Linked DNA regions of Tamandua tetradactyla. The main gene of each other region encodes a partner of the protein of the gene in region 2 in a complex. Links are inferred from orthologs where the notes say so. Each region holds a gene or a part of one and is shown on either strand. Other genes may lie near its edges.

What was found.
Region 1: the proteins of CALCR (region 2) and RAMP2 are in contact, whole or in part, in a cryo-EM structure (PDB 7TYX), measured with the Homo sapiens proteins. The link is inferred for Tamandua tetradactyla from reciprocal best matches to the Homo sapiens genes CALCR and RAMP2. Residues at the interface, in NP_001158210.1 of Homo sapiens: Arg45, Lys46, Met48, Met49, Asp50, Gln52, Tyr53, Lys54, Tyr56, Asp57, Met59, Gln60, Trp76, Gly78, Arg126, Phe235, Leu238, Ile242, Thr246, Val250, Glu255, Lys256, Gln257, Arg258, Trp261, Tyr262, Leu264, Leu265, Phe269, Pro273; in NP_005845.2 of Homo sapiens: Trp86, Tyr93, Ser94, Arg97, Asp98, Glu101, Leu109, Pro112, Glu117, Ile120, Phe121, His124, Phe128, Cys131, Pro136, Phe138, Ser139, Asp140, Pro141, Leu146, Met149, Ile150, Pro153, Ile154, Leu156, Ile157, Leu160, Ile161, Leu163, Val164.

The regions. Positions count from the first base shown.
Region 1 is NC_135332.1:24,492,084-24,500,080, forward strand, and holds RAMP2 (receptor activity-modifying protein 2), read right to left. Parts: upstream 3,242-7,997; 5' UTR 2,265-3,241; coding exon 2,168-2,264; intron 1,720-2,167; coding exon 1,654-1,719; intron 1,171-1,653; coding exon 1,059-1,170; intron 932-1,058; coding exon 676-931; 3' UTR 495-675; downstream 1-494. UniProt on the Homo sapiens protein: Accessory protein that interacts with and modulates the function of G-protein coupled receptors including calcitonin gene-related peptide type 1 receptor (CALCRL) and calcitonin receptor (CALCR). Required for the transport of CALCRL to the plasma membrane.
Region 2 is NC_135327.1:122,630,296-122,637,991, reverse strand, and holds the start of CALCR (calcitonin receptor), read right to left. Parts: upstream 3,159-7,696; coding exon 3,108-3,158; intron 1-3,107. UniProt on the Homo sapiens protein: G protein-coupled receptor activated by ligand peptides amylin (IAPP), calcitonin (CT/CALCA) and calcitonin gene-related peptide type 1 (CGRP1/CALCA).

The DNA.
Region 1 (7,997 bases), on a different chromosome or scaffold from region 2:
GGATGAGGGCCAGGGACCTGGAGGGGGAGTTGTGTGAACCTAGGAGAGGAAGCCCCATTCCATCTGAGGCCCTTAAGGGTGGACTCCTGTGGGTCAGGTCAGAGTTCTTATTCCCAGGCTGCGGAAGTAAACTGAGGCATTGAGGAAGGGCAAAAGTCAGGGTTCCCGGGTAGCCCCACTTTCTTCTTGCAGGAATCACAGGAGAGATTCCTCCCTCCCCCGTCCCCCCACATCACCCCAACTGCTGGCCCCCATCTGTTGTCCAGACCGGAAGGGAGTCTCTTCCTGCATGTTTCCTGGAGCAGAGTTTGGAAAGGGGCAGGAAAGGCCTGGCCTGGGAGGAAGAAGTGCAGGGGTGTGGTTTTCAGGTGGGGGAGGGACAGTGAGGGGAAGTGGCCATCCAGAGTCTGCTGCCCAGAGCTGAGGGCCTGTGGGAGTGGCAGAGAGTCTGGGAAGGACACAGGCCTCATTGGGATGGAGAAAGCAACACTGTAAAAAAAAAAAAAAGTTTATTTTAAAGATTACAAAGCTGTGTAACCCCACCAGCTTGGTTTCCACCAATCCAAGGACCTGCAGTAGGGGTAGGAGTGAGAGAAGAGGGTAGAGAAGGGAGGAGAGAGATTTTTGTGGGAGTAGGGGGGAGGGGGAAGATGGCCCCTGAGAAGCTTGTGCCCCCTAGGCCTGGGCCTCACTGTCTTTACTCCGCCATACCACAAGGGTGACCAGGAAGGGGATGAGGCAGATGGGGGCTATTATCATGGCCAGGAGCACATCCTCTGGGGGGTCAGAGAAGGTGGACTGCACCAGGGAGCAGTTGGCAAAGTGAATCTGGTGAGTGTCAAAGATGATCCTCTCGGCCCAGGGATTGGGGAAGCCCAGGCCAAACTCTTCAGCATTCAGCTCCAAGCAATCTCGCAGACTGCTGTAAGGCCTGGGGATGGGAGAGGATTTGAGTGAGGGGTTGGGCCCAGAGAGAGGACTGCCCCACACTCATTCAAGGTACAGCTGTAAGGAGCAGCCCCACCCAGGCCCAAGCCACCGGCCAGCACTGCCCCTACCTGCTAATCATGGCCCAGTCACACCAATCCTTTTGAATAGAGTCCATATAAGCCTTATAATGCTGCCAGCACTGTCGGACATTTGTCTCATATTCCTCCTCCACTGTCTTCCCTGTGGAGGGAAGATACTCCACATTGATCCCATCCCTGCCCCTCCTCCCAAACCGTCTGTCCCAGATACTTCCAGCAAAGAATCCTGTTCCTCTCTTCAGAATCCTGTTCCTCTCTTCAAACACAGGGACCCGCAGGAATGCCTGAGAAGTTTCCCAAGCATGACACTTTTAGCTAAGGAGACAGTCCAGGCCCAGGAATTTAATGCCTTCCATGTGTACCATATTTCCCAATCTAACAAGAGCTGAAGCACACCTATTTTCATGGGGTCTTCTCACCCACCTGTAAGGTGGGCCACCTCAGAGCCGGGCAGGGGCATTGTGGAATAAGAGGGGAAAACACCTCAAGGAATCACAAGAGAGAAAAGAGGAGGGTTTAGTGGGGTACCACTTGAGGTTGAGGCCTGCCAGGAGGGAAAGAGAGCCTTCCTGTTGATCTGGCTCCCCTCCTTGCCCTGCATCCTCCCGTAGTAGCTGGTACTCACCCTCTGAATTCAAGATGCCTGAGGTGGGAAGAGGCTGAGCCAGGGACTCCTGGGGCTTCACAACAACTGTAGGCAGATATAGGAAAGGGAGGTGGGATGGCGGGGACCTGGACAGCGGAGCCTGAAGAATTTGGGTCCGAGCCCCTTAGAGGTCAGGACTACCCTTGGAAGAGAAAAGAAATAATACAGCCCCCCCCCCCCAAAAAAAAACCATAATCCTCAATGCCCAGGAAGGGAGGGGCTGGTACCACTCACATCCAAGTCGCCAGAGCCCTCTCCGCCCTCGTCAGTCCCAGACCTCCCAAGACGTCCCAGCTGGGCCCTGGGCACTTGAGCTTTCCCCAAGTTGGAAGCAGCTCGCGCGGCGCCGCACCAAGTTGGGGCCAGGGAATCCCGAAGGACAGCGCTCGTCCGTACGTGTCTCAGCATCTGCACCGCAGCCTCGGCCGTCCATCCCCGCACGGTTCCCGGGCCCCCCGCATCTCCCGCCCTGGCCCCGGGGCGCTGCGCTCACCGCTCAGCAGGAGTAGGAGGCGGAGCGTTCTCGGCAGCCCGGCGCGGATCGCAGCGCAGCGCGGGACGCCGGTGCGCTCCGCCCGGAGCGAGGTCATCGCGCTGCTGGGAGGCGAAGTGGCGAGTGGCGGCGGCACTGAGCCGGCCCGGGTGGGGCCGCCTATATCCCCTGCCGAAGTGCAGGAAGCCGCTCCGTTTCCTCGGAGGGGCTGGGACGGCTGCAGCCACGTAGGGGGCGGGGGGCGAGCTTGAGGGGGAGTCGCGGCTGCCGCCGGCCGCTGACGCCTGCTGCTCCCTCCGCCTTGGCGGCGCGGGCCTGCCTTTCTTCCAGCTCACCCTGCGGGGCTGGACAGCTCCCCTCGAAACCCCAGAACCGGGATCTGTTTCCTGGGCTCGGCCGAATGGCGCCCAGTACTCTCCGTGGTCTCACTGCATCTGCGTCCCTGATTCCAGTCGCCCCCTTTTCTGGGGGGCACTGTAGCTGAGGTGGGAGTGGGAAAGCTGCTCTCCGGGACCTAAAGAAGCGGGAAAGGGGGGCTGGAAGGCTGGACCCCGCAGGATCCAAGGCAGGGAGTTGAGGCTGTCTTGGGCCGTGGGAGAAGGGGCGCCTGGAGCTGGGCCCTGCAGCTCAGAGTTCCTTTTCCCTGGGAACACCCACTGCTGTTGGCCCTGCCTGCCAAAGCTAGGGCGGAAAAGAGTGAGCTAGCCCTCAGAGTCTGGAGAAGAGGTAGAAGAAAGAGGGGAAACCAAAGTCCAAATGCCTTCCCTTCAAGGCACCGCCTGAGCCCTAGATCCACAAACTGTTGGGGAGGGAGGGGCAAAAGTAAGATGACTGCATTCCCAGGAAGAAGGTAGCTACCACCCTAAAGGTCAAGGCCATGAGAAAGAAGTGGGGTGGCTGTTAGAACCTACAACTTGCAACTTCATTTTTGAGATGGATATATCATAATCCCCATTTTACAGAGAAAGAGGCTGAAGCCCAGAGCAAGGGCACAGGACTTGTCAGAAGGTCTAGATTCTAATCCCTACCATCGCGGTCCCCAGCTGTATAGCCTTGACTTGTTGACCTTCACACACTCAGATCCCTCCCATGTAAAACAGGGACAGCATTACCCTCCTCACCAAACTAGTGAATATGAAATATGCAAAAGGACATTGTACTCAGCGGATGCTAATTTCCTTTTATCCTTTCCTAAGTGACTTGCCCAAGGTCACGCTGCTAGGAGGTAAAAAGGTTGATCCTGGGGCCATAGGGCCCAGCTAAACCACAGCTGCCTCTGGGTCCTGGGCCAGAGCTTCATTAGCCTAAAGCAGCCAAGGAGCCCAGGAGCTGGGACGGCCATGACGTTCAACTCAGACACAGCTGTCAGCACTGAACTTTGCTAAATTATTCCCAGACACTGACCCTTGGACTCAGCAGCTGCTGTTTTCCCAGTTGAGTGATTCTTGCCCACCACAAATTATTTTTCATGGTCTCTCTTTTTTTTTTTTTTTTTTTATTAATTAAAAAAAGAATTAACAAAACAATTAGAAATCATTCCAATCTACATGTACAATCAGTAATTCTTAATAACATCACATAGTTGCATATTCATCATTTCTTAGTACATTTGCATCGATTTAGAAAGAGAAATAAAAAGACAAGAGAATAAGAATTAAAACAATAATAGAAAGAAAAAAAAACAAAAAAAACAAAAACAAAAAACCTATACCTCACATGCAGCTTCATTCAGTGTTTTAACATAATTGCATTACAATTGGGTAGTATTGTGCTGTCCATTTCTGAGTTTTTATATCCAGTCCCGTTGTACAGTCTGTATCCCTTCATCTCCAATTATCCCTTCTCTCTTTTTTTTTTTTTAATTAACGGAAAAAAAGAAATTAACCCAACATTTAGAGATCATACCATTCTACACATGCAATCATTAATTCTTAACATCATCACATAGATGCATGATCATCATTTCTTAGTACATTTGCATTGGTTTAGAAGAACTAGCAACATAACCGAAAAAGATATAGAATGTTAATATAGAGAAAAAAATAAAAGTAATAATAGTAAAATCAAAACAAAACAAAACAAAACAAAAACCTATAGCTCAGATGCAGCTTCATTCAGTGTTTTAACATGATTACTTTACAATTAGGTATTATTGTGCTGTCCATTTTTGAGTTTTTGTATCTAGTCCTGTTGCACAGTCTGTATCCCTTCAGCTTCAATTACCCATTGTCTTACCCTGTTTCTAACTCCTGCTGAACTCTGTTACCAATGACATATTTCAAGTTTATTCTCGAATGTCTGTTCACATCAGTGGGACCATACAGTATTTGTCCTTTAGTTTTTGGCTGGATTCACTCAGCATAATATTCTCTAGGTCCATCCATGTTATTACATGGTTCATAAGTTTATCTTGTCTTAAAGCTGCATAATATTCCATCGTATGTATATACCACAGTTTGTTTAGCCACTCTTCTGTTGATGGAGATTTTGGCTGTTTCCATCTCTTTGCAATTGTAAATAATGCTGCTATAAACATTGGTGTGCAAATTTTCATGGTCTCTTGCTCTTAAAATCTTTATTTCAGGGTCTCAGGCTCTCAAATCGTGGCTATTGACAACCTGTTGTCCTCCTCCACGGCTGGGGTCAGGAGGTGAATTTAGCAAAGCTTCCAGAGGGAGAGGGGAAGTGGCCTGCTTGGTGTTAACCTTTAAGGGTCATCTCCTGCAGTGATGCAGAAGAGTCACCTTTCTTTCAGAGCCACTTTCGACTGGACACCAAATGCTATCTTTTCTCTCAGAATATCCGCGAGTACCCTTTTCAAGAAGAAGCTATGGTTGAGAGGGAGATTCCTGGGTTATAAGATGGGAGGAGGGCACAACAAGGGACAGAAAGCAAATCCAGACTTTTTCACTGGGCTGGGTCCAGAAGCCCCTGAGCCCACTATGGGTTAGGACTAAGGACGGGACAAGACTGAAGTTGTCAAAAGCAAATGCTGGGTTTGAAATAGGGCAATATGGTATAATGGGCTAAAATATCCTAAAATGGTTAGGATTCTGAGGCCAGGTTCTGCCCCTGTCTTACTGTGTAACCTTGGACAGGTCACTTTATATCTCTGGACCTCAACATTTTCACATATAAAATTGCCGTAGAATAAAAAGGGAAATGTAGATGACTCAGTAGGAAGTGTTATGTTTAACTTAGGGTTGGGTTTAAGTTTGTATGGTAATGTAATGACCTACAAAGAAGAGCTTATGTAACCATTCCTGAACTTAGAAGTCCAGATCCTCCCATTGGAGAATCTACTGATTTTCCCCCTTTCCCTATTTAATATCTGGTGGATATTTTCATTGACTGCTGGACATCTTGGTAACTGAGGGTCTGCTATAGGGGCCCCTTAGTGCTTAACAGGAGACTGGAGACTTTACCTTCCTGTTCCAAGTTGCCATAGGAGATAGTCACATGATCTACAGATATGAGACAGGGAAGGGATTTTTCAGGGTCTGAGGCTGTTTTTATCATGGAAAGCCCCCTCTTTCCAGCCATCCTTGGGGGCCTTTAACTTCTCTTTTAGCCCACTTCTGCTTTCGCTATAAAAAAATTTTTTTTCATTACAGGTAAAATATAAGTATGTACTAATTGTAAAATATTTACATAACATAGAAAACTATAACTCCACCCTGTCTCACTTACCTCCCCACATATTTTAGATTAAAAACAACATAAATGGGATTTAATGTACCTATTTGTCAATGACTTTTAAACTTAATAGGTCTTGCATATCTTTCCATGTTACTATACATAAATGTGCCTCTTTCCTTTTAACATAGCATAATATTGTTTTTAGTCTCTTTTTTCTAATATCCAGTGGGCAGATATTTTTTCTTCTATCTGCCCCCCTCCTCCCCGCCAGTGCCTGGGAAGAAAAGGATCAGATTCCGGTCCAGCTGGTCATTGTCTAGCGATTTCCGGACCCAACCTAGATTGATTCCTTCTGGAATTTACTGACATGTAAAAAAATTCCCTTCTTATTATCTGCCAAGGGCTTTCCTGCCTGGAGCAGGGGAGAGGTGATGCAACCACTAAATCCAGAACAACATAGAAGAGAGTAAAAGGCACTGGGGGCCCCCTACACCATGCAAATTATATGCACCCTGAAAGTAGCATCTTTACCATGTAGAGACATTCACACATGCTGGCCTCTGTCCAAACTGTCTGCAAAATGAAGAGTAGAGCGCCAGAGAAGATGTGAGGGAGAGGGTCAGAGAAGCTAGAAGTCCCTCCTGAGAAGAGTCTGATTCTTCAGAGGGATCAAAGGAAGCAGGGAGGACCTGAGAAGCTGCAAGCCAGGGAGGCAGCTGGCTAAAGGAGGGAAAGCAAAGGGGTAGAGACACAACTACTCAATCTCTCCCCAGGTTCCTCAGCTACAGAATGAGATGAACTTGATTACCTCCTAAAGAGAATTGTTATTAAACAAAAATTTGTCCCTGAGTTAGAAAGAAGCAGAGAAAATGTATTCCTCGTCAACCGCTGGGGACTGAATAGTAACTGCCATTTATTGAATGCTCACCTAACTATGTCTTCATAGTGTGTTCTCTGACACATGTGCCAGGTGCTTTGTATGCATTTCTTAAAGCCCTACCCCATAGGATCAGAACTATCCTGTTCATGAGTAAAATGGGGAAACAGGATCAGAGAGTTTAAATGCTTTGCCCAAGGTCCCAGAGCTTATCATTGTCAGAGTCAGGATTTGAATCCAGGACTGCTCAATACTAAGTGTTCTAGTTTGCTAGCTGCCAGAATGCAATATACCAGAAACGGAATGGCTTTTAAAAGGGGGATTTAATAAGTTGCTAGTTTACAGTTCTAAGACTGTGAAATTGTCCGAATCAAAACAAGTCTATAGAAATGTCCAACCTAAGGCATCCAGGCAAAGATACCTTGGTTCAAGAAGACTGATGATGTTCAGCATTTCTTTCTCGGTTGGAAGGGCACATGGCAAACACGATGGTGTATCTGCTAGCTTTCTCTCCAGGCCGCTTACTTTATGAAGCTCCCTGGGAGGTGTTTTCCTTTTTCATCTGTAAAGGTCACTGGCTGGTGGACTCTGTGGTCTCTCGTCCTTCTGTTATCGTTCTGCAGCTCTCTCCTCATTCTCAAAATGAACTCTTTCCAAACTGTCTCCTCTTTTATAGGACTCCCACAAACTAATCTAGACCCACTAGAATGGGTGAAGACACATCTCCATCTACTCAAGTTTAATACCCACAATGGAGTCACACCTCTGTGAAGATAACCTAACCAAGTTTACAACCTGTAGTACTAAATAGGGATTAGAAGAAATCGTTGCTCTCACAAGATTGATTAGGATTAAAACAAGGTTTTTCTAGGGTACACAAATCCTTTCGGACTGGAACATTAAGGTTCAGGCCTTAACTATTATGATATATCATCTCCCTCCCCCCCCACTCCTGCTCAGATGATTGATTCTTACTGGATGTTGAAAGGAGGGGAGGATAAAGAGTGAGAAGATCCTGCTTCACCCAACCAAGTACACTTATTCTCCTTCCCCCTCCTTCCCTGACTCAGGCTGGACCATGACATCATATGGTAGGGGCTGTTTTTCTGAAAAGAACTCTGAATGAATTCATAAGAAGGACGTTCAGACAGCATGACTGAAGAGGACCGTGGCCAAGTGACCACAGAACACACCCAGCAGTGCCGAGAACATGGCTGGTCCCTCGGCACCTGGGGCTGAATCATGGTTGCTGTAAGAGCCCAATGCCCAATGCCAGAATTGTTTTCACCCTCCCCCCAATCCTCAGGAAGGGCT
Region 2 (7,696 bases):
ATAGTGGCAATACAAACATACAAAATCAGGGTAGGTATAGTTCATGTAGAAGATGGTAACATCAATCTTATCATTCTTCCAGTGCTGAAACAAACTCTAGTGAACAAGGATTGGGACTCAGCTCACCAGAGATTGTTTCCACACTGAAGGAATGAGAAATTGGAGCCTCTTTTGTTCGATAAATCATAATAACCTGAGCCTGCTCCTAGTCTGGTTAATGTTTGAGCACTGAAGATGGAATTTTCCAAACAGTAGATAAATATTTCAAGGATTTTTTCCCTAAAATGACATAACACACACATTGGAATTACTATTATTTCAATGCATATACACATTTCATAAAGTTCATTAAATGCATTAAACTTTTGACTGATGATTATATACAGTTACAAATTGCTAGTGAGGTGTGTTTTCAACAATAAAGAGGAAACATAATAAACTACCAACCAATGGGAAAGACTTAAAAATATTCTACTTATAGTGTTAGTTTTATACAATATAGTTTGGAGATGTAATGATACTATGTTGACATGAACATAGAAATGAAACATTGCTTTCTGAGTAAAGATCAGTGCTCAAAATTTCACATACAAGACATTTCTTCAAAAGAAAATTCTTTCCTTGTTGGCTCATGTAGCAGTTTAGCCACCGTATATGTGATGTCACTCCTAGAGGTTCAAGTAAATGGCACCACACATACGACTGCCAAACTGCCACAAACATCTGTAGTCAGCATCCGAAACATCGCTGGTCCTTTCGGCCAATAGGTACCTTGAGTACCTCCTATGTGCCAGGCACTGTTGTAGGTTCTGGAGATTCGGCAAAGTCCCTGCCCAGATGGAGCTTACATTCTAGAGGGTTTAATCCACACTGATCATGGAGGCCAGGGAAAACAATAGAAGTTGAAAGGCCATAGGTTCAGGAATTCCTATTTCAGTGTAAGCCAGTTAGCCTGGCTTTCAGTTACATATAGTTTCTAGAAGAAGCAGCATAAAAAACAGAATAGTTGCAGGTTGTTCTGTTTGGAACTTTGAGAAATGGCACGTCTCTGGAATTGTTCAAGCCCTTTGAACGTGTGGACCCATGCTGCTGTGCTGAAAGAAAAAAGCTCTACTGATTGCTACCGGCAGACCTGCTTTGCCGAAAATGTGGATCCAGAATCTGCAAATTGATATAACCAACAAGATTTCTATGACACTATCCCAAATACTGAAAATGTCCATGTCAGAACTATTTATGATTTTCAGTTAGTGATATTTTTCAAAATAATGAAGCACAAAATAAAATTTGTAAAGAATCAACCCTGGTTCTTCCACATATGATGAGTTGCCTGGTTGGAGTCCTGTGTACCTTCTTCCACTTAAACATCATATAAACATTGCAGTGGATTTTGTTTGATGGACAAATCTTCCAAATCAAATATATAATCCAAATACAGACAGAGAAGCAAATTGCTGTCTGTCACAGCAAAGAGAGCACAGAGCAACATAAATACCCTGTTCAGTTTTGTTTGTTAATAAAGGAGGTGCCCACAAGCCATAAAATATTTCTTTCCATGGGTCATGCAAATGCATGAAATGTTTTTCAATCTTTGAATTATAAAATAAATCAAATAAAAGCTTTGAATAAAAATCAACTACTTAATAACACACCGAAAATTATCTGTAGTCTTTGTAACAAAGAAGGTGATTATATAATTTTTGAACTATTTTGTTAGTATTTCCTAGTTATTTTAGTTTTTCTTCTATCAATGTCAAATAAAAGCATATGCTTTATAAAACAGATGTATATAGAAATATTTGCATATAATTAATCACATGAAAGGATTTTGTTTGAGCTACAAAAAAAAAAACAACATCACTTTATGAATAAAATATACCAATATATCTACCTCTATAGAATGCCACATAAGACCTTGGGCATTTACAGACAAATTACATATTCTGTTAGCTTATATATTCTTGTTCAAATGTTTTTATTACATTTCCAGTGACATGAAGTTACCTGCATTTCCAAATACTGGACTAATTTTAGCAACTTATACTGTAATTCATCTAAAGAAATATTTAATAGGTTAAAATAATATGACAGTCAGACATCATAAAATGAACTAGACTCATTATCCAAACAGCTACAAAATGGTTGAATTAACAATCATTCCTATAAAGCATTTGCTGGATGTGTAACACTACAAAATAAAAATTGCCTTGAAAAAATACACTCATGAATATTAGTAATACTTTTTCTTAAATAATGTAAGGAAAAGCAGCTTAGCTCGATTTATAAGCCTGCAACTGCACATTAATAAGTAATGGAAATTCTGGCACTCTGGGTAAGCTTTGCTTGGGTCAATAAAACGGTACTGAATACTGAATGTCCTTACTGTCAGCTGTAATTCAATGGCAAATTTTATTCTTACGTGATAGAAAGGATAAGGTTTGAGATAACTCCAGATTGATTTATGTAAAACTTACTCATCTCCCTTTCATGTGCTATTGAAGCTGATGTGATGATGGCTTAACAGAGCTGACTGAAATAAGCAGACTTTGATAATGTTTTCTAAGACAATCGCACTTCTCACTACTTGCTACCTCCTTTAGGAAAAAACAACATAAAATTAAATAAACTGGTCACAGTTTAAAGTTTAGAGAAAGAGTTATAGAATCAGTAGTAGGTAAACACTTGAAGATTCTTAGTTTTTGATGAGGAATACATTTGAAATTAATAATCAGAATAAAAAAGTTTGAGATGTTTTAGTAGGACAGCAGTTCAGAAACTGTGATTCAAACAGACATGTCTAATATATGTGTAATCTGAGAGCATTATAATTTATGATGTTAATATCCATGATTAATGGGTAATATGGAGATGTTGCCTCAAATCAATGTTAATTTTCATAAAGCAAGCAAAGCTCAAAATTCTGGGTAAGCTGTAACACTAGTTTAAATTAGAGGAAATTCAGTTTGATTTAACAAAATATTAAGAACACAGTGGTTTCTAGGAACTTAGTTTTGGCCTCTAGAAAAAAGATCATGTCAGTCATAAACAATCTTCCCTATTCCAACATTCTAAACTAATATAGCTCTGAATAATTTTGTTTTACTTACATTTAGAAAGATGAACAAGAAGATGCACCGGCTTGTAATTTTTAGCCTCATCTTGGTTTTTGAAGATGATCCTCTGTTGTGCTCCTGTAAAAAATAAAAATAACAATTAAATAGACATAGCTTTCATATTAATCATAGTCTTTATTTTTCTTTGGTTTCTATTTGACTTAAAGTGATGAGAAAGAAAAATTAAAATTATTTTAGAGGTTTCTAGACCACATACTGTCTGACTTCAATGTGTGACGTCTCTAAATTCTAACAAAATCATGAGGTAATCATCAAATGTCGACCCAATTCAGAGAACAACTATCACTTACAAACACAAGATCTGACCTCCTTGCCCCTTTTCATAAAAAATTTCCTAGGTACCATGACTTCAGGACATAAAAACAATATACTATTCCGGCCAGAAACAGTCAGAATCCATGGGTTTGAATTATATTTACTGGTTTTGTGATTGTGGACAAAGTATTTATTATTTCTGAGCTTTAGTTTCTACACCCCTATGATGAAGATAAAAAGAATTTGAAGTGGTTATGGGGAACACTTTTAGACTACATTTCCCAGCCTACCTAGCAATTAGTGAGGCCACATGACTGTCTAATAGAATTAAAGTAGAGTTTATGTGCACCAGTTTCAGGCCTGACCCTTAAAAACCTCCAATTCTCCATTCTCTGCCTCTAATATCAGGGTCCAGGACAATCTTGGAACACACGTTTTGAAGACAACAAATCATCCATCAATATGGATCCCTCAATGACTATATGGAGGAGAGCCCCCTTCCAATTGGATGCTGCTGGAAGGAAAAACAAAGCTTTTTTTGTGCTAAACTAAAGAAATTTGTATATTTATGTGTTACAGTGGCTAACAAATACAAATAACTCATATTTACAAAGGAGTCACATATAGTTTCAACAAGGATGTAGGTTGTTATTTTGTATGCTGGCACCATCAGGTTGCTCATCATTGGTTAGAAGGGTGGGATGGAGATGAGAAATTGTTTGTAAAAATAGCCTATAGCACAAAAAGACTTGCTCACTTTAGTTCTCATCCTACCTATATGACTTAGTGGTCTAGGCCATTGCATGGCCATCTCTGTACTTTTATTTAATTTCACATTCAGTTATGCATTATTGCATTGAATTGATGGTCTATATCCGGATCCACTTTACTCATGAGGTATAGGACAGACATTGCTTTTGGCTGGTATTTTGTGTTCTCTTGAAATATGAATTTTCAACTATAGTAATAGCATTCAAAAAGCACCTAAAATAGCATCTAGCACACAAGTCATCAAATGAATTGGGGCTCATTGTTTTACCTTTTAGACCATACTCCACCCCCCCACCTTACAACTCAGTTTTACTGTAGTGTCTTATGAATAACCAGTTGATAGTGAATCAGGTGCCTTGTGTAAGGAAATTACACTCTGAAGGAGAGCAACACACATTGCCTTCTATGCAAGAGTAAAAGGATTGCTCTTCACATAAAGTTATTCCTACATACATGAAGAAACCCATGCATTCATCTGAGAATATGATGGACCAATACCTAGAGGAAGCTGTAGTGCAAAAACCAGGAACGAGGCCACAGGCCTCCAGGAACGTTCAGCGAAGTTAGAACAGGCTGAAACTAAGGATCCGTAGTTTCAGGAAGCAGGTTTTATTTGCTATGGCCATAGGGCTCAGCCAAGTCGCCTCTGAAAGTTTGAGCCCCGAACAAAAGGCAACCTTAGCTTTTATAGACTCTTTGACATGTTAAAGACAAGGTAAACAATTGGCTGATTTAAGTTGAGAATGGCCCAGAGCTGAACCATTGAGGGGCCCCCACCCCAGGAATGTCTTCTCTTGCCTATGTGCATCTTCACCAGTTCTGAAGGCTAGGGGAGGGGGTTTCTATCCCAGGAAATGTGCCTTATCTCACTTGCCTGCAAGGAGAGGGGTTTGGGGATTTTCCACAGAGAGCACAGCTAAACCAGAAAGAGGGCAAGGCCTGCCTGCTACAAAGCCAGTCACAGAATTTAGGCACTGTGTCACCAAGATTTATGTGCTGGTTTGAAAGTGTTGTGTACCTCACAAAAGCCATGTTCTTTTTGGTGAGATCCTTTTGATTTAGTTGTTTCCATGGATATGTGACCCACCTAATTGTGGGTAGGATCTTTTGATTAGGTGGTGTCCATGGAGATGTGTCTCTAAGTGGAGTCCTTTAAGAGGAAAACATTTTGGGAAAAGCTTTCGAGCTGACAAAGATAGGCATTTGGAGATGCAGAAAGAAAACACTGCCCAGGGAAGCTGTTTGAAATGAGAACCCAAAGGACCAGCAGATGCAAGCCAAGTGACTTCCCAGATCAGCCTTCCTTGAGTCAAGGTACCTTTCTCTGGATGCCTTAGTTTGGATATTTTCATGGCCTTAGAACTGTATAATTGTAACTTAATAAATTCCCTTTATAAAAGCCAGCCCATTTCTGGTATATTGCATTTCCGGCAACATTAACAAACTAAAACAATCTATAATACATTCTGGCAACAAACCAGAACCACCTATGTGTTCCAAATCCAGTAAGAGACTGCTTAACAGAGGGCCACCAAGTACCATTGTGCAAGTTATTCACCATACAACTCTTAAATAGACCCATTTAGTTAGACAATGAAATTCACAGTGCTTTTGTTTTTGAACAAGGTGATGATTCTAGCTTAATAGAGCCTCTGCTATTTTATAGTGATTGAATGCTAAACAAGAGGTGTAAAGTCTGGGTGGTCACACATATGCAATTGCTCATTAGCTCAGTTGTGGTGCCAGAAGGTGGCTAAGCAGAAGGGGTAGGCGAGTGAGGCTGGAGAAGTAGAAGAATAGGTGTAAACCCTTCAAGTTGCCCTAAATAGAATACAATAGAAGTAAAAACAGTATGCTTGCTATGCAAATGCAGCTGCAGATTCTGTTATCCCTCCTTTCAACCACACTTTTGCTTCTAAGCCCATTTATTAAGGAATTCCAGAGCTACCTCTGTACATAAGGACCAAAATAAAGGATCTGGAGACAATAAGAAAAATCAATGTGGACTTCAGTTAGCATGTTTCATCAATAGAGCAGATGAATATTGCCAAGGAGACATCTCATAAAGAATCATCTCATTGTACATGAACAAATAAAATCTGTGATTTGTGAATCGTCATGCTCTATAGTTAGTTGAGGGCCACCTCTGCCAGTTTAAAAATGTTATGTGGATGTGACCTTTTGATTAAATGGAGCTGTGACTCTGCCCATTTAGGTGTGTCTTGGTTAGTTTACTGGAGTCCTTTAAAAGGGGAAACACTTTGGACAGAGAGAGCGAACAGAGCCAACTCAAGACCCAGATGCTTGGAGATGCAGAAAATAAATGCCCCGGGGGAAGCTATTTGAAAACAGAAGCCAAAGACTCCAGCAGATGCCAGCCACATGCTTTCCCATCTAACAGAGGTGTTCTGGACCCATTAGCCTTTCTTGAGCCAAGGTATTTTTCTCTGGAATCCTTAATTTGGACATTTTTATGACCTTAGAACTGTAAAATTACAACTTAATAAATTCCCTTATAAGAGCCAACCCATTTTTGGTATATTGCTTTCAGCAGCATTAAAAAACCAATACACTGACTCTTTAATTACACTCTTTGTAGAGCCTTGGGTATTTTACTTTCCTATACTTTTTCCTTCAAGCTTTAAGCTGCTATTAAGAATACACTTCTTCCAGAGCAAAGATTGAGCATGTGATCTAACAGTCCATCACTCTTATTCAATACCACAATAGTCAAGAACTGACTGCTTTGTCCCAAACACAGAAAAAAAGAATTTCTTGTCATCAGTGGGATTTGTGTAAAATTTGGGTTAGTGGTTATGATTGCATCTTACACTAGTTATTGTATCACTTACAGATTTTATGTATCTGCTTTTTAATTTAGTATCTATGATGTGTGCCTAATATACTTGTTCCCCAAAGAGTAATTGTGTTCAATTCATATATCAGTACCACAGGAAATTGAGAATAGAAGGAATAATTTTGAAGTGTTATCATATAGGCTGGTCATTTTTCATTATTTCTGATTTATTTCAAGTGCACTCAGCAAATTGAAAACACACACATGTATGTATTAAGTGCCAAGGCACTACAAGGAATATATGGATGAGCGGTATGAGTTATGGGCCTATTACAAGAAACTGAACATGCAGGTGGGGCCTGGGAATAGGTATGGATGATGGAAAACTTGTGATAAAAATAAAAACCCAAAACTATAATGCAGGCTGAGTAAAAAGGTCATTAAAATGGTGCAAATAAAGGGATTCAGAGGAGGGTGGAATGATTTCTGATTGAGGTGATCAATTCAAGATTGGTATTTCAAGATACAACTGGCAAACCGAATAGAACTTTTTTTGCATGCTGTGTGGTGGGGGTCACATTTCATTCTTTCTCCATGAGACTATCCTGTTATTGCAGCACCATTTGTTGAATTTTTAGGGGGGCTAGGGAGGAAGTGCATGGACTGGGAATCAAACCTGAATTTCTCTCATGGTAGGTGAGAATTCTACCACTGAACTACCCTTGCACCCCTTTAAGAG